Linked DNA regions of Bombyx mori. The protein of the gene in region 2 interacts with the protein of the main gene of each other region in a pairwise test. Links are inferred from orthologs where the notes say so. Each region holds a gene or a part of one and is shown on either strand. Other genes may lie near its edges. The genes, in order: Jnk and CD2-associated protein.

What was found.
Region 1: the proteins of CD2-associated protein (region 2) and Jnk interact in a two-hybrid assay, tested with the Drosophila melanogaster proteins (2 studies listed by BioGRID). The link is inferred for Bombyx mori from reciprocal best matches to the Drosophila melanogaster genes cindr and bsk.

What each region holds. Positions count from the first base shown.
Region 1 is NC_085109.1:1,358,265-1,369,885, forward strand, and holds the end of Jnk (c-Jun NH2-terminal kinase), read right to left. Parts: intron 10,790-11,621; coding exon of another isoform or gene 10,662-10,789; intron 9,800-10,661; coding exon 9,670-9,799; intron 9,017-9,669; coding exon 8,918-9,016; intron 8,512-8,917; coding exon 8,413-8,511; intron 7,774-8,412; coding exon 7,639-7,773; intron 6,966-7,638; coding exon 6,836-6,965; intron 5,932-6,835; coding exon 5,774-5,931; intron 5,690-5,773; coding exon 5,564-5,689; intron 5,217-5,563; coding exon 5,052-5,216; 3' UTR 2,711-5,051; downstream 1-2,710. Other genes in the region: transcription initiation factor TFIID subunit 9, read right to left, coding at 72-294, 868-1,235. UniProt on the Drosophila melanogaster protein: Mitogen-activated protein kinase and key component of the c-Jun N-terminal kinase (JNK) pathway which phosphorylate and activate transcription factors involved in a wide range of biological processes including response to various stresses, cellular proliferation, differentiation and migration, and regulation of cell shape.
Region 2 is NC_085115.1:10,599,042-10,610,969, reverse strand, and holds part of CD2-associated protein, read right to left. Parts: intron 11,870-11,928; coding exon 11,686-11,869; intron 8,782-11,685; exon of another isoform or gene 8,350-8,781; coding exon of another isoform or gene 8,300-8,349; intron 5,656-8,299; coding exon 5,550-5,655; intron 4,115-5,549; coding exon 3,985-4,114; intron 1-3,984.

The DNA.
Region 1 (11,621 bases), on a different chromosome or scaffold from region 2:
GATGAATATGATAAAGCATAGTGCTGTCTATTTATCTATTCTATAATTTTAAAATTAAACCAAATTCTTACTTTACTGCTTGATGAAAATTTCAGTACAGGTTTTGTTCCGAGACTGGTTTTTGGGGTGCCCACATTCACAATTGCTCCCGGTGGTCTCTTCATAACAACTGTCTGTTGAGGTGCTTTGGATGTGGTGACCGTTTTTATGGACGGGGAAGGGGTTATCGTAGTTTTTGTGATCACTTTCTTGGTTGCTGGTTTCAGTTTGTAATTACAGGATGACAGGCAGTAACTGGAAAAATGAATATTCTCTGTAAACATGCAGCGATTTACAAGTTAACCATATTAAAAGGCTCTGGGTGTTAAGGGAATCTCATGTTTCACACAAAATTAATCAAAATTATTCCATAATTTCCTTTGTTAGCGGAATTGGTCCATAGTGTATTTCTATTCATCATTTTTACTATTATACCAGGCTCCCAAATGCAACCATTGGTGTTTATGGAGTATTCTGACATTATTTCAGTAAGGTTTGAAGACTTCTTAGTAACAGGCAGTATTGAAGTATCAGTAACTACTTACAAATTGTAATAAGACAATCTGTCACCTAAAGATATTGTTTACAAGAAGACTTTACTGAACTTTGATTGTGAACACAATATTGTTGCAATCAATTCATGGTGCGCAAATTACATACGTGTGGTCTAAAGTGGAGTATTTTTCCCTCAAGTCCGGTGATTGAACCTTGAGCTATTTAAGCTAATCCTGATTTTTGAAGAAATTATCTAAGTCCATACTCACGAAAGATTAATATAATGTGCTGTGAGATATAGGATTAAAGTGTGCTACATTTTCCAATACTTACCGATCCGGAGGCAGTCTTAACCCGCAATGCGGCTTTATCAACGGCAAAGGATTAACATTCTTGACCCTCGCGATCTCCAGTAGCACTTCACGGGGCGGGGGATTCGTGAAGGACTTGTCCAATTGCATTTGAGCTGACAGTCTCACATCATCAAGATCTATAGTTTTCTTTTTTGCGTGGTTTGCAAATATCCTTGCATCATCTAATACTGATGTAACGTAGCGGTATGTGAATTCTAGGAGCTGGTTCACGACTCTCGGTTCATAGTCAGTGATACCTACTTCCTTCATGATGGACATGATGACTTGGGCATCTTTGGGAATGTGCTTAGCTTGACCACCCGATTTGGATTTGTCTTTCTCTGACATCTTGTAGTTTTATTTGTTATTTTAATTTTAGACCGAATTATTTCTGATTTGTTTAAAAATCTTTTTCTTAGTCATAGTATTGGCATACTTTATTTTGGTAACAATGCTATAAAAACAACACTTGTGCTGTGATTGTGACAGATCTATGTTGTTTGATGACGATTGTCAAGTCAATTCAAACTGTCAGTGTCAGCCATTCTGAGCCATTGACATCTTCATTTCAGAACACATTTAAAAGTATATCTCTCTATGGTTGTTGTCAGAACTTGGAAACAAACAAAAAACTGGTGCGCGTATAAAACTTGGTGCACGTGAAAGAAGTGAAACTTCAATTTATCTCGAGAAATAAGATTAACTTAGAAAGAAGTTGTTACCAGTATTCGATGATTACCGAACGAGTCCTTTGGTTTTACAATAATAATATGTTTAGTGATAATTACTTTTATTTAAAATACCGCCTTCTGTAAATAATTTAGAAACTAAACTGTTCACACCGATGGTCTTGCAATGTAGTAGTTAAACGAAATCCAATAGATGTCACTAAATTAAAAAACGACCTAACTCGCTTTGCCCTTTCCCTCTCTCCACGGTTGAGTGGTTCACAAGACGCCCTACCTATTTTCTTACTCTCGCTCTTCCTAAATTGTATCTTTTCTCTCTAGCCGTAACGAATCTGTCGCGAGTTAAATTTCACTCTCAACGCGCCTAAAGAAGTTTTACTTCAAAAAATATATAATGAATTCCTTTTTTCTTATTTATTTCGTTCATCAAACAGCTGTACAGTTAGTTAACAAAACTAACTAAGTAGCTGGTTTCAATATCTCTACTTTCAATACCTTTATCTTTAAACAAATGTAAACGCTTATCCCGCACTGTCTTACGAAAAAAATATTACCTAGATATTAAATTTCCTTTTATGCATTTACATTCAAAACAGAAATCATTTTTCTTATTTATTTATCTTAATTAAAGTACTCAAAATAAAAAGATATATGTATGTATATTATTTTTCGGCAATATTGTAACAAAATGAAAAACTGGTTTGTATTATTTGGTTCATTTAATTTTAGGATTTTCTTAGATTTAGAGAATATTAATATTCATTTATCAACCGTCTATAAACTGTGAATTGAAAAATAAATTAGAATAGATATCCATAATCTGGTTTTTTTCTGCCGCAAAACAGTCAAGCGTTCCCGTTTGATGTTTCTTTGTTCTGTTGGAATTTAAGCAATTGCTTGCCTTTCGACAAGTTACACAAAAAAGTTAGATATCCACTTAATAACAGTCTGGCAGGTTTTTTTACTAAGATAGCCAGTTCTGATTAGCGCCATGTTCAGTTTATTCATTCATTCATGAGACAGTATCTTGGAAGTAGGACTATTTTAACGATGGTGAATCAACAAGAATTGTTTCTAAAGTCACTGAAGGTTGACATGGATTTTGAAGGGTATTAAATAAATAAAACATACAACTATAATAACCATTTCGATTTATTCAGTTAAAATATGAAATAACTTACGTGTACAGTAAAAATAAGTATTTTCAGATATCAATCCAATTGTTAAGTGGGTCGCTTCGGACGCTGACACGTCGCAGCACGGCGATACCTTCACGAAATGTACTAGAATATCGCTAATGATTACATTAATGTAATATTGTATTAGGTACATTAACTAATACATGGACAATTTGGACGTACACTTGTCAATATTATTTATTTATATTAATTTAAGATAAAACGTATTTATACATAGGTATAGAAACAGTTCACTTTGCTTTTGTTCCATTCAATTGCAACAATCATTATGACATACACAAGTTACGAATGACATTAGTCTTATAAAATACAAATGAGAACAAAAGTAGAGCGAATCGGTTTAATAGATGTTTCGTAGAGAAGTGACGCGTGCACACACATACACACGCGCGTACGAATGCACATATCATTATTGCTGTTGTCATAATGGCGCCATAACGCCATCACCAGATTAGTATCCACTACAAATTGTGCTACACCATGAATATTATCACGACAATCGTCCATCACTATCACTTAAAACTTATTATATCACCTAATGAGGTTTCAAACGATAAACTACGGTGTACCTCACACATTCATTACTAAACGAATGTCTTCCATCTAAACACGCAAATCAACTGGATATTCTACAGAGACGGATTGCGTTCGTATGTAATATTTTATTAGTAATTAAATGCTCTGTATGTTCCGATAAAAGGCATACATAAATATGTGTATATAGATAAATGTTGCCAAGTAATTTATCGTTATATTTCCGTTTATTATCAACTAATTTAGCGTTAGAAGTTTATGTAATGTAATGTTTGAAGAAACTTCTAAATTGTCTTTACTCATTATAAATATTTATGATGTAATGATGAAATAAGATAACTTTTATCGATTTCAAATATGAAGCTACAAATTTTTTGGTGAAACTATTATTATTCTTATAACGGTAATTAAGTTCCGTTATGTATGTAATTTTATATTACTGTTTTTTTTTCTCATGTGTTTTACGTATCTCTGTTTCCAGTTCCGTTCTACATCCAAGGGTGACGTGTGTGAGGCTTCCTATAAGTAACTACTTAGGTAAAAATGTACTTACGCTAGTCGCAGTGAATACGATATCAACAACCTAACTAATCTCTAATTACCGAAGAACTATTAACATCACAAAATCCCAACTATCAAGATGTATGTACGCGACCAAGAAAATAATGTTTTACATACGCACGGCCTCACTCGCCTTTGTCTATGGCCTCGATTTACACTTCTATGGTAAACGCGGGAAACGTTTTTTTTTTAATTTCATCATCGATTTCGGAATTTTAAGGTGAGATATGCAACAGTTATAGTCGATAAACTTAATATCGAACGCATTAAACAACTAATAATGATTGCACGTTAATTATAATTATACAATAAAATAAAAATTTAAGAAATAAAAATAAAATTTTCAATTACATTCGATAACAACACAGAATAAGCTCAACTTTCCGTATCATTAACTTCGTACAGCTAGTTTACATCATTACGTACTTTATATTTAAAATAAATCAATTCAAATAAACAATTGCATAGCATTAAGATCCATAAATATATATATAACATTTATTTTTCACAGCTTATCAAAATTGTTGTCATTACAAAAATATCCAAACGTATGAAAATATAGTGGACAAAAGCTGAAGTCGTCGCCGCGTCGGGTTCGCTAAAGGCACTCCGCAGTGGAAATTATTACTCGAGTGGTAATTACGAACGAGAACTCAACTGTGACGGAGAGGGAGGGGGAGGGAGGGGGACAAACAGAGCTTTTGAAAAACGATAAAAAGCGCATTGTAGCCTTCACACTAAATAATAAAACTTATGCTATGAATATAATACGTCATAAGAACGGGAAGAAACTACGTAACGGGGCGATAACGGATTTGAAACAACAAGCGGGGGGACGCGGGGGACGCTGGGGGGGGAGTCGACTGTGACCCAGCGCAGCCAGGAACGTATGTCCTCGAGGGATCCCCTCGGAATTTCTTTAACTTCGACCAATTCTACAAAAGGCATATTTTTCCCGATTTTTAATTCCAGACTTTCTCGAAGGATCCTTATGAGATTGTGTCAAATAGTATCTCCAAAAACAATCACGGGTTATTCATACAAGGTACCACTCTATTTTGTGTTACGGTTTATAAATTCACATCGTTTTCACATAGGGTTATAGATTTTGAGTGTATAATACCCTATGCGCAGAGGGTGAGTAGTGTTCCTTCCTGGCTACGTGAGGGAGGGGGCGGTGCCTACGTGGTGAGTGCGGGCTGCGCGTGGTCGGCGGGCGGGGGGTGCGGGGGCGGGGGGTGGGGCGGCGCGGAGTACTCGACCACCTCCTGGTAGATGAGCTGCTTCCACTGCTCCACGGTGTGCTCGCGTTCGTCCACCGAGTGGTCGTATGAGGCCGGTGCGGGCTGAACAAAAACACCGCTCAGTTTTTCATTGTTTTATTGCCTTATGCTAATACCAAAATAGTTTGAAAATACACATGCATCTGAGCTTGGCTACCTCAGACCCTCCTACTTCCAAGTCGGGCACACCGACTCACTTGGTATCAAGTTCTTGACAGTTAGGATCCCACGGACATCTAATGGAAGGATGTCCCGCCCTTCAAACAGGAACGCGGTAGAAATAGGCAAGACTGTGGTACATACTCGTGCGGACGTTTCCAGAGAGCGTGGCTGCTACGGGCCGGCGCAGTGCGTGGCCAGTGTCAGTGTCAGGGTCAGAGTCAATGTCAGTGTCAGAGTGTGGTACTCACCGCGTTGACCTCTACCTCGTCGTACCACACGTTGATGTAGGGATGCAGCAGGGCGTCGTCCACTGAGATGCGGCGCTCGGGGTCGATGACCAGCATGCGCGACAACAGGTCGCGGGCCTGCGACGCCTGGGGGAGGGGGGAAGGGGGAGCTCGTCAGTACGGCGTCGACATCGGTGACGTCACGGCGCAGTCGGACCGGCGCGGCGTTACCTTGAGTCGGTTGTGCTCGTTGCTGTCGCTGGGGAACAGTATGTCCGGGAAGAGCCGCTCGAAGCTGTACCCGGAGTAGCGCGGTCTGTTCTCGACGTAGTTGCGGACCGTGGGCTGCAGCCGGGACATGAACGCGGCCGACGGCGTGCCCAGTTGCTCTGGTGTACAATAACAACTGTTATTACAGAGGCGTGCCCATGTCAGAGACGGTCAGCTACCAGCGGGAGAGGCCGGAACAAGGCACAGTATTGATTTGATTAGATTTTTTTTATTGCCCTTATAGACAGTGTGCTTAGTGTGAGTTTCTTAACGTTTTCGATAGCGTAAAAGTTAACCTAATTTTGTATGCAATTGGAACAGCGCCCCTAGCGGCAAACGTACGCAAACGATCCCATTTCATACAAATATGAGCTAACTTTTACGCTATCGAGAACGTTAAAAAACTCTCACTAAGCACACAGAAGAAGCATACGCTTACGCTATACGAGTATACGCTTTCAAACTAATATATCTCTGGTAAGTTTGTATGATTACGTTGAAGATAGGATCATTGTTCAGCTTTTCTTGATAAACCTGTTACTGTTTTAAAATTACAACCAAACGAACGACTCAAGTGTTATATTTGACTAATATTTTAACACGCAATGTAATACAGTTTAGAATCAGATGACGCACGGGGGGAATACCCGACGTTTTCGTATGATGCGAGAAACTACCTTCAATTTTCAGTGAAAATTATTATAGATAGTTAGTTTACAAAACACATTTTTTTATTATTATTTTAAGCTGCGGTGTGTTGGAATTATTCTCATCTAAAAGGAAATCTCTTTGTCTCCCTCTAATCAAAGGGAATCTCTTTATATCCTAACCTCCGTCTGATATATGGCCTGCCTACTGCCACTTCAGTAGCAACAGACCGACCGGACTGGACATCAATTGAAGGGACCTATATTCAGAAGTGGATAGTGGACAGGCTGAGACGACGATGGTGATGAAAGGCAAATCGTTCAAAAGCAATCAGGGAACCTGTGCATTAGTTATAAGAGACCAGCGTCACCGTACCGATGATCTTGTTCCACTGGTCGATGTGGTCGGTGCCGGGGAACAGCACGCCGCCGCGGATCATCTCCCCCATGATGCAGCCCACGGACCAGATGTCCACGTTCTCGGTGTAGCCCATACCCAAGATCACCTGAAACGCGCCGACAATAAAGCTTTTAGGGTTCCATAGTTATATTGTTATATCCTTGTAGTCGTCGCCTAAGGGATAAGACGTCCGGTGCGTTCGTGTTGAGCGATGCAACGATGTTCGAATCCCGCTGGCGGGTACCAACTTTTCTAATGAAATACGTACTCAACAAATGTTCACGATTGACTTCCACGGTGAAGGAATAACATCGTGTAATAAAAATCAAACCCGCAAAATTATAATTTGCATAATTACTGGTGGTAGGACGTATTGTGAGTCCGCACGGGTAGGTACCACCACTTCGCCTATTTCTGCCGTTAAGCAGTAATGCGTTTCGGTTTGAAGGGTGGGGCAGCCGTTGTAACTATACTGAGACGTTAGAACTTATATCTCAAGGTGGGTGGCGCATTTACGTTGTAGATGTCTATGGGCTCCAGTAACCACCAATGAAAAATTGTGTGTAGCCTAGTTTTTAAAATTTAATGTGAATTACTCTCTCTCTCTCTCTCTCTCTATCTATCTCTCCATCTCCCCCTCTCTCTCCATCTCCCCCTCTCTCTCCCTCTCCCCCTCTCTCTCTATCTCTCTCTCTCTCTCTCTCTCAGAAGGGCAGAAGAATGATGATGATGAATAAATGTTTTGGTGTTAGAGTGAAGCGAGGTGTGTATGGTCCCACCTCCGGCGCGCGGTAGTAGCGCGTGACGACGTAGGGCGTCATCATGAAGGTGGTCCCGGCGGTGCGAGCCAGCCCGAAGTCCAGGATCTTCAGCGTGCAGTCGCTCTTCACCACTATGTTGGACGGCTTCAGATCCTGATCGCGAAACGAATCCAATATTAACTTGAAATACTCGATTTCATTGGCTCGTTAGTAAAAATAGCTTTATTATGAATTATTTACAATAAATTATGTCAAACAATTACATATTTACGATAATTCGTTTTATAGGCGTACCTACTGTAAGTTATAATGGTTAAAAATTACCATTGAAAAAAAAAAAAATGTTTCTGTAGTATCAATCAAATGACATTACAAAGTAGAATGATAAAAAAATTGCTCTAGTTTTATTTCAGCGACGTCACAGTTCAGTAAACGATACTCTTGTTTGTTTGTCTTGTTTATATTTTATGTTTTATTTTAAATATGCATTTTTAATTTAGTATAAATAGTTAATAGCTTCGAAAGTGTAGTAACTTATAAAAACTTTATAAAACTTAACTTTATTTAACTTTATAAAAAGCTACTAACATGGTAGATAGGCATTTTAGGTGAGCAACTTTGTTAATTTTCTAAGAACACATGGGCTCATAAGGATTCGCATCCAGAGCCGTAAAACACTCTCAAAAAATATATATCTAAGAACACGTTTTTAAGATATCTTTGTTAATGTTCGAAAATCCTGAGACTGAGTGTTGCCAGCCAAAAGGTATTTTTTTCCCTTAAAATACGAACCCGATGAATGATTCCGGCGAGGTGCAAGTGTTTGATGCCGCACAGCATCTGGTACAGCAGATAGCTCATCCGTTCGTGATCCAGATCCATCTGAATCACCTGCAATTAGCATTTTAACGCTTTTAGTGCCGAACTTGTTTCAATACAATTTACAAAAATAGCCAAAATATTTCTCAAAAAAAGTAGGACATTTAAAAAAAAAAAACAAAAAAAAAAATTACATTTGTAAATCAATGCATACAATGGAAAATATTTTGAAATGGTTCTTTATAAACGTTATTTTAGTTTATTAAAAACATGATTGTTTATTTGTATATTGTGAATAAAATTATATCCTTACATTATAAGTTAGATTAGTTTTCGTTATCGTGTTGTTTTATCGTATAATTTTACTTACTTACTATCGTTTTACTTATGTCTTTTATGTATCTTTTTAGCTTGTGACATGTATTGTGAGCCTAATAAATAAACAAATAAATAAATTAATTAATTATACAGGACTGACTTGGCACAGATTAGCGTCCATCAGCTCCATAACCAGATACACGTCTTGGAATTCCTCGAGGCTTTTCTGCGGCGTGAACGCGTTTAGCAATCCGATTATCTACAAACAACGGCACATCATTAAATTTAAATACTGAACCTCTATTGTCATGCTAGCAATTCCTTTATTGCCATGGAAGAACTGCAATTTAAATGCCGGCTGCATTGTCAAGTCGTTGACAAGAATCTCTTAGGCCAGGGGTCGACAAGCAGAAGCCAAATATAGATAGCACGTAATTGGATTTTATTTAAGGTGCCATTTTTTAGAACATATTATCGAGGGGTGAAGGGTTATTTGGTTTAAGCGAAATTTTTTGAACTTTACAAGAGAGCCATTAAAAGGTTATCATTTTGAAAAATATATTACGAAAAAAAAACTTCTTCAACTCTTTGAATGGAGTAAACTTAATTGAAGTTCAATTAAAACGTCGAACAATAATAATAATCAACGTTAATACCAAATAAAAAGCACCTTTAATTACGAAAATAAATTTCGCGTATTAAGCGAAATTTCGCTAAAACCAAATGTTCTTTCACCCCTCGATATATTTCTATAGCCTTTTGTTTAAAAAAATTTTACTCTTTACAAGGCAAGATAGTAAGCAATATTTTGTGCCTACACTAAATATTTCGCGAAAGAGTCATAGCTGTTGTATCAAAGGGCCGCGGGTTGCCGACCACCTTTTTAGGCAAATAAAAAATAACCAAGCTTACATTTTTATGGTTGACAAGTTTCATAAGTTTGAACTCCCTGTAAGCTCTTTTCGCGTGCGTCACGTTCTGAAACGGACGCGACAACTTCTTTATGGCAACATTCTGTTGCGTCACCGTGTCGTATGCGGCACTGGAATACAAAATCAAACAGTTTAGCTTTAAATTTTATTAATTTTTTATTAACACTTAGAAATCGATGAGCAATCATTTCATATTATAAATTCAGTTTCTTCTTCAGCGTGGAGCGGAGTGAAAAAGGTTGTGGTAAAGTTCATTTAAACGAAAAATCAAATACCAATAGTTTATTTTAATTGCCGCCGTAATGAGTTAAGAATTGTTTATGGTTTTTTAGTGAATAATTTACCTGTTTATACACACACATGAACATAAAGAATTAGAGTAATAAACTTATTAATAATAATAAATACAATATTTATAAATAAACCTATTAAAAAACCGGCTATTAAAAAAAACGCAGTTTGAAAATTATTAAGATAAAGCCATGCATATTAATGTAATGACGAAAGTATGTAGTACCAAAAATTTACCTGTTCAATACATAAAAATCAAAACGATGTTTTAATACTATTTATGATACAGATGATAAATGTGCAATACTGAAAACTCGTATGTCAATCAAAAAAAATCAAAAACAGAAAACGGCCATTTTGAAAAAAGTGACAAGAGCGGGAATTAAACATCACACTCACTCGTTAGCTTTATTCCAGAACGATCCTTTTTCAACATTATTAATCAGCCATCCAATAAACCGAAACAATGGACACCAATCGTGAATTTCGTCCACCATCGAATTTCTTAAGAACAACATTTTAATACCAATAAAATCACAAAAATACAAAAATAAATCCGTTGCACGCAAAAGTTTCACATACGGACATCGCTTGGTTAACGCGGGAATTTTAAATTAGTACAGATTAGTCCCAAAAGCTTGAAGCGGGAGTTTGATTGACCATTGTATTGGCGCGGCTTACCACACCATGCCCTGGGCGCCCGCGCCTCTGACCACCAGCTCAGTGTACCGGGTCGGGATAGTAAACACCGCATCACCGACCGTCACTGAGTAATACTGTATCATCTTACCGCTATTATACTCGATCAGCTACAAAAGAAATTGCATGTTTATTTTCTTCATGCGCGTGTGTGACAGTGTTCTGGCTGAATGATTATGGATGTTGTTGCTTCTTTTTCAGAATTAGCACCCCTTTTTAAAGATATTTGATTTCTAAGCGTAATGTTGGTGTGTAATGATAGCTTCGGGTCTTTAATTATTAACGTTTTATGTTTGTTGTTCACAATTAAATTGCAAGTTCTCAATGGCACAGCATAGACGAATGAAAGAACTCTCGAACCATCTGGTCTTAAGTGTTTACAAAAGACCATAGAGAATAGAGAGAGCTGTCAACATTTTTGGATGAAACAATACAAATAATAAATACACAAATATATAGTACGTAAAATCATGCCCCTTCATAATGTAGATAAAACTAATATTTATAAAAAAAAAACTATCATTAAACTCTATCGAAAATCTAATAATGTGAATATTTTAAAACAAAATGCCAGATTGTGAATATGTATCGTGCTGGATCGTGCAAGAGTGATAGCGTGCTGTATAAAAATTGCGAATTATTAAGTAAAATACACATAAGAATTTGCCTATTCTTAAACTTATTACATTGCATGCATGCTACTAAAGAATGAAGTGATTATACAACCCACCGTTGTTTATAATTCGATTTAAAGAATCTCATTACAAAATAGAACGCACGCGATAGAGATAGGTAAGACGGAGATGACGCCATCATGTCCGTGCCGGTCGACAATACTCCCTACCACTTTAGAGGAGGAAATTGGGATAAGAACTTTGAAAAGTAGAGGTTTTTTTTTAATGCCCTTGTAGGCATACTCCCTACCACTTTAGAGGAGGAAAT
Region 2 (11,928 bases):
TACTGGTGGTAGAACCTCTGGTGAGTCCGCGCGGGTGGGTACCACTGCCCTGCCTATTTCTGCCGTGAAGCAGTAATGCGTTTTGATTTGGAGGGTGGAGCAGCCGTTGTAACTATAGTTGAGACCTTAGAATTTATATCTCAAGGTGGGTGCCTTATTTGCGGTTGTGGATGTCTATGGGCTCCAGTAACTACTTAACACCAGGAGGGCTGTGAGCTCGTCCACCCATGTAAGCAATAAAAAATAAATAAAAAATAAAAACCAATGTTCCGATTTCGTGTGAGTACTCGAACGCGACTCGAACGTTATCGCTCATTTATTGATATAGGTAATGATGGTCATCGTTTCTCATCATGCTATCAGAAACACATTACGTTTAAACCGTTACTCAATTAGAGCACTTAATACCAAGGTCGTAAGGATCGACAATACAATCGCTTGATTCAATCGAGAAGTCCGTGACAGCGCATTTCGCTTCATTATTGTGCAACATTGCAACGCCCCGCGGCGAATAAACGTTTTTAACATCCATAAGTTTTGACCGTCTCGGTGGTGCACGCGTCGTGGATTCGATTCCCAAATCGGGCAAACATTGTGTGATTAACAGGTTTGTTTGCTATTTGTCTGGGTGTTTATTAACTAGTTACCTATGTATATATTTAAACGTATATAAATATGTTTGTCAATCTCTGATACCCATAACACAGTGAATCCTAAATTGGAGCCGGATGATTTTTGATGCGTGATTTTTTGTCTCCGTTATGATTATTATTATTACGATCGGTCGTGAGTAAACATAAACGTGTTTGCCTTCTTTTGATTGTAGCCAGAGTTCATTCGCGCGACTCCCAAGAAAATTCATTGGCATAATTGCGAGATAACTTAGTTAATACGCAATTATAACATAGATTTGATTGCATTTAGCGGTAGGCAGCGGCTTGGGTCTGCCCCTGGCATTGCAAAGTCTATTGGCGACGGTAACCACTCACCATCCGTATGGCCGTATGGTCGTCTACCCACAAGAGCAATAAAAAAATAATTAAAAAAAAACAATTAAGTGTGTCGCGCGGTACTTTGAAGGAATAAAAGCCTGTTGTTTTGTGTGACCCAAGTTCAAGAACAAATAAAAAAATCCAGATCGCGTTCCTGGAATATTGAATTGTAAATACAGTCCCTTATATCAGATAAAACAAGCAATGAATTAGCATAACATAGTTACATAATTCGGAATCAAGTTATTTACAATTACTATAACAAGAGCCTGGCAGGATATTTGTTGTAATTGTCCAGGAGGGCTCAGCAAAGGAAAACATAAAAAGAAAGCTACAAAGAATCCTAAGCTCTATCTATATCATTTCCAGTAAAATTTCCATTCATCTAACATATTTACAAAAGAGAACCATAACATCATTCACTCCGAATTTTTTTTTTGTTTAGAACCGTGTAAACAGTTTGGCCTCTCTATTACTGTCAGACCAAAACGCTACTGCCTTCGGTACTTAAAATTATTTTTTTGGTGTCGGTACAAAACGTATATCTGAGTAATCTCTGGGTTTTATAGGCTCCTATCTTTGAAACGGCGGGGTCGCTCTACGGAAGTCGTACTGCGACGCTGATTATAAAAGTATCTCCGCGGGAACAGAAAACTAAACGCGACGAGGGGGGTGTGATGACGCGACTTCCTCCAATTACCGTCTCGGCATCGCGAACATTGATGATCACACCCGGATTCGTATGAGCCAATAAATATGTCGAGTTCACTTTTCTAATATTCCTTTGCGTGATACGTGGCGTTGCGTTGCCCATATGAAATAACCTATCAACAATAAGATACGTAACGTTGCAGTTCAAAGCAGGTATATTTGAAGTATATTCTCTTATAGGATTTGATATTTATAATTATTATTATATCGAAGGGTAAAAGGCTATTTGGTATAAGCGACATTTCGCTTAATACGCGACATTTATCTTGGTAATTAAAGCTACATTTGCATAAAAAGTTCCACGTTTTTGATTGAGCTTCAATTAATTTTTCGCCATTCAAATAGCTGAAGAAGCTTTTTTGTTATGATATTTTTTCCAAATTTTAAACTCTCCTGTAAAGTTGCAAAAATGTCGCTTAAACCACCAAGCCCTCGATATGCACCTAAATATTTTTTTTCTATCACAGTTCGTGGTACACTATAGAACTGAGACTTAGAATTGGTGTCTCAAAGTAGATGGCAGTGTTTACATTACTGATGAACTCCGGTAACCATTTAACACCAGGTGGGATATTAGCTAGTCTATCTACTTAAGCAAACATTGAAAAAAAAAATAGTAGGTGGGTGGCGCATTTACGTCGTAGATGTTTATGGGTTCCAGTAACCACTTAACACCAAGTGGGCTATGAGCTCGTCCACCCATTTAAGAATTTTTTATTTTTTTTTATCGTAGACGATAGTTATTTTATATAATGTTCACCAAATTGCTCAGGCGCATTGTTAATAGTGAAAACTAGTATGTGATTTTTTTGTTATAAGTACCTATAATCTATATTGTGTGAACGTATTGTATTGTTTGTTTCCTAAACAAATAAAAGTAAAGGATAAAGAGGCCCAGAGCTTTCTGATTGATTCAATTAATTTGTGAGTTAGCTCGCTTCATGCGCTCAATGAAAGGAGATTGAATTAAATCAAGAACATAAGTGATTCAACGTTAACAATTCAATTTTATTATTGCACTTCATTGAACGCGACTCTTCTTTATACAATGTGTATAGTATATATATGTACCTTCTACCGTTGTTTCAAAATAATTATTTAACACTAAACCTACCACTACCGGTCAAATGCACTTTTGCAACTTTTGTTATATTTATATATATACTAGAGGTCCCGCAGTAGTCGAAATTCGACTATAATTAATTGGGATTGTAAGTTTATACACTATTATGATTGTATTTTATACTTCTATAATCACAAATTTCGCCAAGACTACACTATAAAAAAAATTAACAAAGGCAATATTTAATCTATTCTCAATTTGACAACAGACGCCAAAAACAAAAGTTTGACAATAAATAGTATGCATGCGTGTGTGCGTCAAATACACGGTCTATAGTGTGTGTAATGTTTTCTTTATTGATTTAATGTATCTTTTATGCATTATTTAAAAAAAATATTAGCATTGTGCACTTCTTCTCTATATTCTCTGTAAGTGTGGAAAATTTCATACTCCTCCGTCCGCGCAATTTTCGTAAAAAGGGATACAAAGTTTTTGCTTCACGTATTAATATATAGATTTAAATGCTGAAATACCGTTATCAAAATATAAGAGAATTCTTAGAGCATACATATAAAACTACACTTCAAATTATTATTTTTTCTTTTACATATAAACACAATCATGAAAATACAATAAATAAAATCGAATACTTTTTTAATAACCAGTCAATTTAACCAAGCGCGATAGAATACAAGAACTGTCGGTAAGTTTAGTGTTAAAGCTTCAATAAGAACTCACACGTGTTTAATTAATACATTAATAATGCTGAATTATACCGACTTACTGTTTCATTCAAAACATCATATTCAAAACATATTCGAATTAATATTTAATTTAAACACCAAAAACAATTGATATCTCAAAAGCACTGTACTCCGAGACGCCGTAACCATAAATAATCATAGATCAAAAACAATTTTCAAGTATTGAACGCTGTTCCGAATGTTCCGAAAGTGAAATGTAAGGTCATTGTCATGAGCGACACATGTACAGGCGGGAAGAGCGCTTACGTTACTGTTCTTACGTACTAGTTTCGCGTGATTTACACCATTGTATGGCCCTCAATACGTTATGTGCATCGTTTAAACCGGTGTCGGACACCTTACGTCATTTTTATTTATGTGTATTTGATCAGCAAATGGAATGCTCCTTAGATATACTACGCAATAAGACGTACGATGAAAGAGTAGATTCAAAAATGTGATTGCGTCAACTTACCTGGCTTCGGTGGGAGCGCTGGAGCGAGTTCGAAGGGTGCCGGCTGCGGTGGGTCGAGCATCACAACAAAGTTAGACGGAAACACACCCACGCGACCCTGGCGTCGACCTTGCCACCAGCCCTCCTCTACCTGAATGACAGACACACAGTCATGCGAACACCCATATTGAACATGGTACTCATAGGCAGTGGTTTGGCTTTATCCCTGGCATTCACCACTCATAATCCGTTGGTACGTAAGATCACCATTTGAATGTACAGGTGAACGAGCTCATGGTCCACCTGATGTTATTTTTTGATATATTTTTTGATGATATTACGAAGCCCATAGACATTACTCTGCAAATGCCACCAATCACCTTGATACACAAGGTCTAAGCCTCAATTGTAAGGCCTACCTTCGAAACCGGAACACAATACTATTTCGCGGCGGAAAAAGCAGGGTGACCGTAGCATACCCTTTTTTTTTTTTTTTTTTAACGCTGGGGAATCCATTTACGGATACCCGGTCCGGGGGGTAACGAACCGGGTTATGTCGGACTCCGGCGCCTCCTGAGAGGAAGAGGGGGACGAGAAGGTCCTCCACCTCCCCGAATCCCTCGCAAGAGACTACGCCTTGAAAAAGGCGCGCGAAGCACTTGCCCCGCAGAACGACTACCGACTAAACCCCATCGAGCTCCACCACACCGGCTACACCAGACCTACGGTACCGCAGTGCGCGCCGAAAGTCCGCCTTCGCCGGTACCCGTCCTGATGATAAGACGGGATTTCATCTCCGGGAAAATCCCGAAGGACGTCATTTCGGGAGATACACCGTGAGCGGCGCACAGGAGCCACCTTGCACCGCCCCACCACCGGACCGACAGTCGAGTACCGGGCGCCCCCGCACCCGCCACCTGACAGTCCCTACGGGGGCTGAGCGGGAGCTTCACGCCCGCGCCGGCCATCCCGCCTTCTGCGCTGAGGTGCTGAAGAGGGATCCCACTCCCTTTCACGCTCCTCAGCCTCACGGGACGCCATTACCAGGTCACAAAACCTGGCCATGGCCTCCCACGAGCCCTGATCCTCTAACATGCGGGCGACGACAGCCCGCAGGGAGAGGTTTCTCCCCAGCACCGCGACGAGATCTCGCCGCGAGTGCTCCCAACGCGGGCACGTTTCGAGCGCGTGCTGCGCGTCATCGTCCGGGTGCCCGCACTGGTGGCAGCCCGGATGTGGCTCTCTCCTGCAGACCTTCCACAGGTACCTCCCGAAACAGCCATGTCCCGAGAGGACCTGCGCAAGGTGAAAGGAGAGTACGCCGTGACGCCGATCCGACCATGCCTCCAGCACGGGCACCAGGGCCTCGAGGGTGCACCGTAGCATACCCTGCGGACTCACAGGACGCCCTTCCAGCATCACTTTTTTACAGCTACCTTTCGAAAGCAAAAATCTTGAGCTCTCAACGTAGGTGATAATGATAAAAATTAAATCGGAAATGATTTGAAAAATACTTTTTAACAACTGAATTAATTCAGTCAGTAATTCCGTATAGTTTGTTATGTAAAATTGTATATAGTCCATACCTCTCCTAGAACTTCAAGCACGTCGCCGACGCAGAGTTCCAATTCATCCGGATTGACTGGTTGATAGCTGTACAGAGCCCGACACCGCCCTTGCACGCCCGTTGATCTAACAGAAACGGACAACTTGAATTACGTACAAAAGATATATTGCCACCACCCAAAAATATTTAGTTACGTTTTGTTTTTTTTTTGTTACTTAGGTGTATGGACGAACGAGCTCATGACCAACCTGGTGTTAACTGGTTACCAGAGCCTATATATATACATCAGCGCAAATGCCGCTACCTACCTTGAGATATGAGTTCTTAGGTCTCAGTTTTTACAGTACAACGGTTGGCCCACCCTTCAAAAATCTTAGGTCTCAGTTTTTACAGTACAACGGTTGGCCCACCCTTCAAAAATGATTTATGTTACGTCGAAAAATTCAAGCACCTTATCATCATCGGATAGTTAATTATGCGTTGAAATTCTTAAGGAAGTTGAACATCGACAAATATCTAAAAAGTTGCCTTTTGTAAGAGACACTTTTAGAAAACCCGATGACGCCGATGATGCAACTTTAACACACTGGCTTTTATGTCGTTTTCATTTCTTACTCACACATCGACTAAACTAACTATAATAAATGCATTATCATTCATTCGTTCCTGCGCAGATCTAAGTTTAAACAGTAGTATTCAAATAAACATTCAAACTCCTTGTCGCGGAACGAATAAGTGCTACACAAGATCTACTGGATCTTAAAGAAAATGTTTAAAATAAAAAGTTTAAATCGTAATTTGGTTAATCAGGTCAATATTTGCGACATAAAACGACGCTGGCCCAGTTAAGATAAAACAATGCTCACATCGAACGCATTTGGAAGACAAAGTCTTTAGGAATGGATATTTGGGCCGTCAAACCGATTACTGTTGGCACACTTGTTTGCCGTGCAGACTACTCTGCCTGAGCGAAGGAAAACCTGACAGGTTTTTTTTATTGCTTAAATGGGTGGACGAGCTCACAGCCCACCTGGTGTTAAGTGGTTACTGGAGCCCATAGACATCTACAACGTAAATGCGCCAGCCATCTTGAGTTATCAGTATAGTTACAACGGCTGCCCCATCCTTCAAACCGAAACGCATTACTGCTTCACGACAGAAATAGGTGGGGCGGTGGTACCTACCCGTGCGGACTCACAAGAGGTCCTACCACCAGTAATTACGCAAATTATAATTTTGCGGGTCTGATTTTTATTACAGGTAAAGTTAGGTAAAGTTCAAGAAAGATCTCGTCATGAAACCAATGAGTTTGAAAATTCACTTGGCTTTAATAAGACTTTAGGATGCACATTAGCGTACTTATCTTCTTGATTCGAGATGACGATAGCGAAAGTCACAAGAAATTAATGTTTCGATTTAATTTATAGAAATTTAATGAATTACAAATGTAAGTAAATTGAAACGCTTCGGTGCGTCATAATGGTCGTTACTTTTGCGCGATTGTGTTCTTGTTAACTGTAAATGACACAATTTTTTTTTAATCGGAAACTATGACATTTCGCTTCAGATAACATCTGCGCATTTTAACTTTTAAAGTGTCAATTGAATTTTTATTAGCATACATATAATAATAATATGTAGTTTCCTCCTGTAATGTAAATGTAATTAAATGTAATTAATATAATTATATTAAATGTAATAAATATGTTAAATGTAATCTATATAATATATAAAAATGAATTGCTGTTCGTTAGTCTCGCTAAAACTCAGGAACGGCTGTACCGATTTGGCTAATTTTGGTCTTGAATTATTTGTGGAAGTCCAGAGAAGGTTTAAAAGTTAAACAAATATGAAAATGCTCGGAATTAAATCAAAATAACAATTTTGTTTTTCCTTTGATGTGTCCCCCGTCGGACGCGTTCCTTTTGTTTGTTTTAAGTTTATTTTGTGCAAAAGTTTAGTTCTTTTATTTATCGATTATGACACTACGAAGTCTGCCGGGTCAGCTAGTTATATAATAATGTAAACGTAATTCCTCACACTGAGCCATAAGAATGTGATTTCTTAATTGGTTTAGACTAGTTTAGAGTAACAACTGTCCATCCTAAAATTGAAAAAATGCTTTCAAATAAAAATATGAAAGACGATATATCTACCCATTTGGGCTTTGAATGGGGCGTATTCTAGTTATACCAATAAGATATTCATATACTTTTTTTTCTAACATGCCTGTCGTTTCTCGTTTTATAGTAATTTCAAAAAATTATTATTAATTATTTGTACAAAATATTTTCAATTGTTTTGTTCCATAATTAATTATGAATATTTTTATAACGCACATATTTATGTACTGAACTGACTAACTCCAGATAAGACGATAGCTCATATTAACAAGTACATTATTTTTATTTATTAACTTTACAATTCACTGGAGCATTTCATTTCAGAATTATTAATTATTATTGTTTAACATAAGCCCCAAAATTTTGGAGATATAATGATATGTGCGAATACTAATTTAATATATCACTATCAATATAATCAAACAATTAAAGCAATCTACTCAGTTATTGAATCAAGAATTAAATGTTCATTCACATTTACAATTAAAAATGCGATCATTTTTGATCAAAGAGTTTCAACATCATCCTTCTTGGCTAAACAGCAAGGTTTCTGCGCAAACCGCGATCCTATCATCCCTAAAAATATTCAAGATGACAACCATTGTATCTTTAATTCATATTTTTGTTCAATAGAAAATACTCTTACCTCCAGAATCTGAAGGAGCCGCGTGTTTTTACTATTTTCTTCCAAACCATATGACACGTTTTACACTGTAGTATAACACAGTATGTATTTACTAAGGGTCACACAAACACAAAGTAAAGCGAGCAACGCGTGTTATCGTCTTATCCGGACTGATTAGATAGTGCGTATAACCATTATTATTCCAGTAAGTAATCAAAAAAAAAAAAATTTTAAACGGAAATCTGTTTCAAATAATATTCATAATTTGAAATTCAACCTGTTGCATACGGCAGCTGAGCGACTTTCGCCGAGTGGGGCCGTTGCTTTCGACCACGAAACCGGATGTCAACAGAAATTTCAATTTAATAATAATATTATGCTGTTTATAATAAGTTACGCGGTCCCGTTTCAACTATCGAAGACATGATCAAGCTCGTTTCTCATGACATATCGTGTTTTCGTGTCGAAACATTACGTGTCTACTATGTTTATGGATGATTCTGATGTCTATTTTTTTTATTACTTTCATTGTTTTATATCATGTACAAAAATGATAAAATTGTTATTTAAATTGAAAACGATTAAATACTACATATTATTCTGTTAAAGGCATCGAAATTAGTTACATTAATTAATTGATAAGAAAAGTACGCCTCCACTTTAATGATGGGTGCGTAGTTTAATGAACGTCTCGCTGTTTCTCTCGCTCGTCCGCATTTTAATGACAGTGACGTCGTAAAGCGCATGTGCATGCTATTTGTGCTATTTGATTATTTTTTAAGGGATTTTATGACCTGGTAACTAAGACCTTTAGATCATGTCTTATTTTAATTTATATTCTTATTTTTATGAAAAATAATATGTAATATGGAGTGAAATGAAATGAAATGAAGATGATTAATTTGAGACATAAATCAACTGGGATGAAATTAAATGAAATGAGATGAGATGATATGGGATGAAATTTAATCTCAGTAAAATGGTAAATGACCACCATTGATATTTTTTCAGTGGACTTTTTGGAGGATCCCGAGAAGATACGTCCAGCGTTCTGTGCTATTTGACAACAATAATTACCACAGATTCACGAAAAAATACGACGAAAAGATCAGTCTGAATAGAATTTATAAGCCAAATTATGTTGACATATTCAGCAAAACCTGAATTTTCAGGTTAATTTTATTATAAATTCCAATTTTTAATTTTAACTACATTGTATTTTTTTCTATTTGCTATGAATTATAATTTTAGTATTAAACCCTTTTTATTTTAGTATTGTATTACTAATTTGTCATAATATTAGGTTGTGGAAAAAGTTTCTTCGCATTTTTTAAGAAAATTCACAACATTTTTTAATATAGTTTATTTACATTTAACTAAAGTATGTAGGTACCATTTTGTTCGATAGCTTTTTGCCATCTTGTAGGTAGGGACATGATCCCATTGCTATAGAAATTTTGGGGCTTCTGATCAAAATACCGCGACAATTGGTTTTGGCAGTTATCTCGTGATGTTAACCTGATACTGCGTAAATAATTCTGAAGAGACTGAAACAGGTGGAAATCTGAAGGTGCAAGGTCAGGACTATACAGCGAATGCATTAAGACCTCCCAGCCAAGCTCTCTTAATTTTTGCTGAGTGGCTAAAGATGTGTGAGGCCTAGCGTTATCATGATGAAAAACCACACCGCTTCTGTTGATTAATTCCAGCCGCTTTCAACTTCTTTATTTAATCTCATCAGTTGTTCGCAGTAGAGTTCAGAATCGATAGTCCTGCCTGGTGGTAACAGCTCATAATGATTAATACCCTTCCAATCCCACCACACACATAGCATCCCCTCGTTGCGATTTAACCCGGGTTTCCCCAGTCTGTGAAGCTTGACCGGCCTTTGACCACGACCTTTTCGCACGTTCTTGTCGTACGTGATCCACTTTTCATCACCAGTTATCAGCTTCTTCAAAAATGGTTCGGTTTCATTACGTCGTAATAAAGAATCACAAATGAGTACACGGTTCATTAGGTTTCTTTCAGTGAGCTCGTGAGATACCCAGATATCGATTTTTTTGTGTACCCAGTTTTTTCAAATGCGCCAAAACTGTTTTGTTGTCAATTCCCAGTTCTTCAGCTACGTCGTAACTACTGATAAACCCATTTTGCTCCACTTTTTCAAAAATGGCATCCATTTTATCCGTAACAGGGCGACCAGAGTGACGTGCATCTTTGACATCAAAATTTCCGGATTGAAAACAATTTGTGCTACTCTCACAGACACTGCACTAAGTCCATAAACATCGCAATTTTTTTCGCGGCTTGCGTTGCATGTTTACCTTTTTTGTAGTCAAATTTTAAAATGTATCGAATTTCTTCATTAGATTCACTCATCTTGACAGTACGATAAATAAATTAGAATCACATCTTTTCTTAATTTGAATTTGAAATTATCTTCTTTAAAATTTAAGCTTTTAATGATACCAAAACCAGCCAGATACAAATAGTATAGCCAAAGAGATTTTATTACAAGTTCATACATAGTATAATGCGAAAGACTTTTTCCCCAACCTATTATTTTATGTTATTCCTGGGTTTTCCGATAGGTAAAATAAATGAACAATTGAAATTTAATATGACGAAGTGATATTTATTCTATTGATTATTCGCTTAGCATCCGGCGGAACAGAAAATCCATAAAATACGAGGTTTTATGTCGATCGTGCCTCATCTTTATTATTGTTTTTAATGTTAGAAGCGTTCCATAGTTTGAGTTTCGTATATAATCATATTTGAAATAAAATTAATGGTATTATCAGAAAGAAGAAGAAAGGCATACGATGCCAATTAAAAAACAGTCTGGTGCAAACTTGTTGAGCACAAAAAATATTGGCGCTAAAACAAACTATATAATTTCGAAATGGCCAGTTACTACTATTATCCGCTATATTAGCTATTTATTCTAAGAGACAAACTTGAACGCTACAAAATATTTCAAAAATGTGTCAAATAAAAAGATTACATTCGTAAAAATCATAGCGACCAGTTCAAACAATTACAAAACTTAATATGTGTGTCAGTGAACTAGAAACATCCGACACACGTTTTTTTTTATATTGTGTCGGAATCCAAACCAGTTTCATGGGTGTTCAAAGCCTGGAGCAGATTACAATATGTGTCAAAACTTTAAAGACATCTTAGCTGTTTAGTTTATCTATGCTTTACAAACCTCATTAACATAATTGAACTTTAACATAGTGTATGATAGTTATCATAAATATACATTAATGTCTTGAAATTTTCCTTCCAAAATGCTTTCGCCGTATATCAAAACGCTTAGAAAAATGTTTAACATACATTTTTACTGTTCTAAATCAACGATCGTTAAAACTGCTTCTTATGTTTAAAAGTCAACTAACCTCGTAGTAGCATGTTCGTTTAGAAGAGAAACGAAGTTGTCCGGGAACATGCCGCGGTTTCCACGTAACTCGCCTCGCCACCAGCCCCCGGGCAATCTCTCAACGTCGCGTATCACGTCCCCCGGTCTGATCGTCAGCTCGTCCGCTTCTGATGCATCATACGCGAAGTTAACGGTGCAAGACACTGCGAAAGACATCAAATGTTTCATTATTATTTTTACACATCTTGTCTTTTGCCCTAAG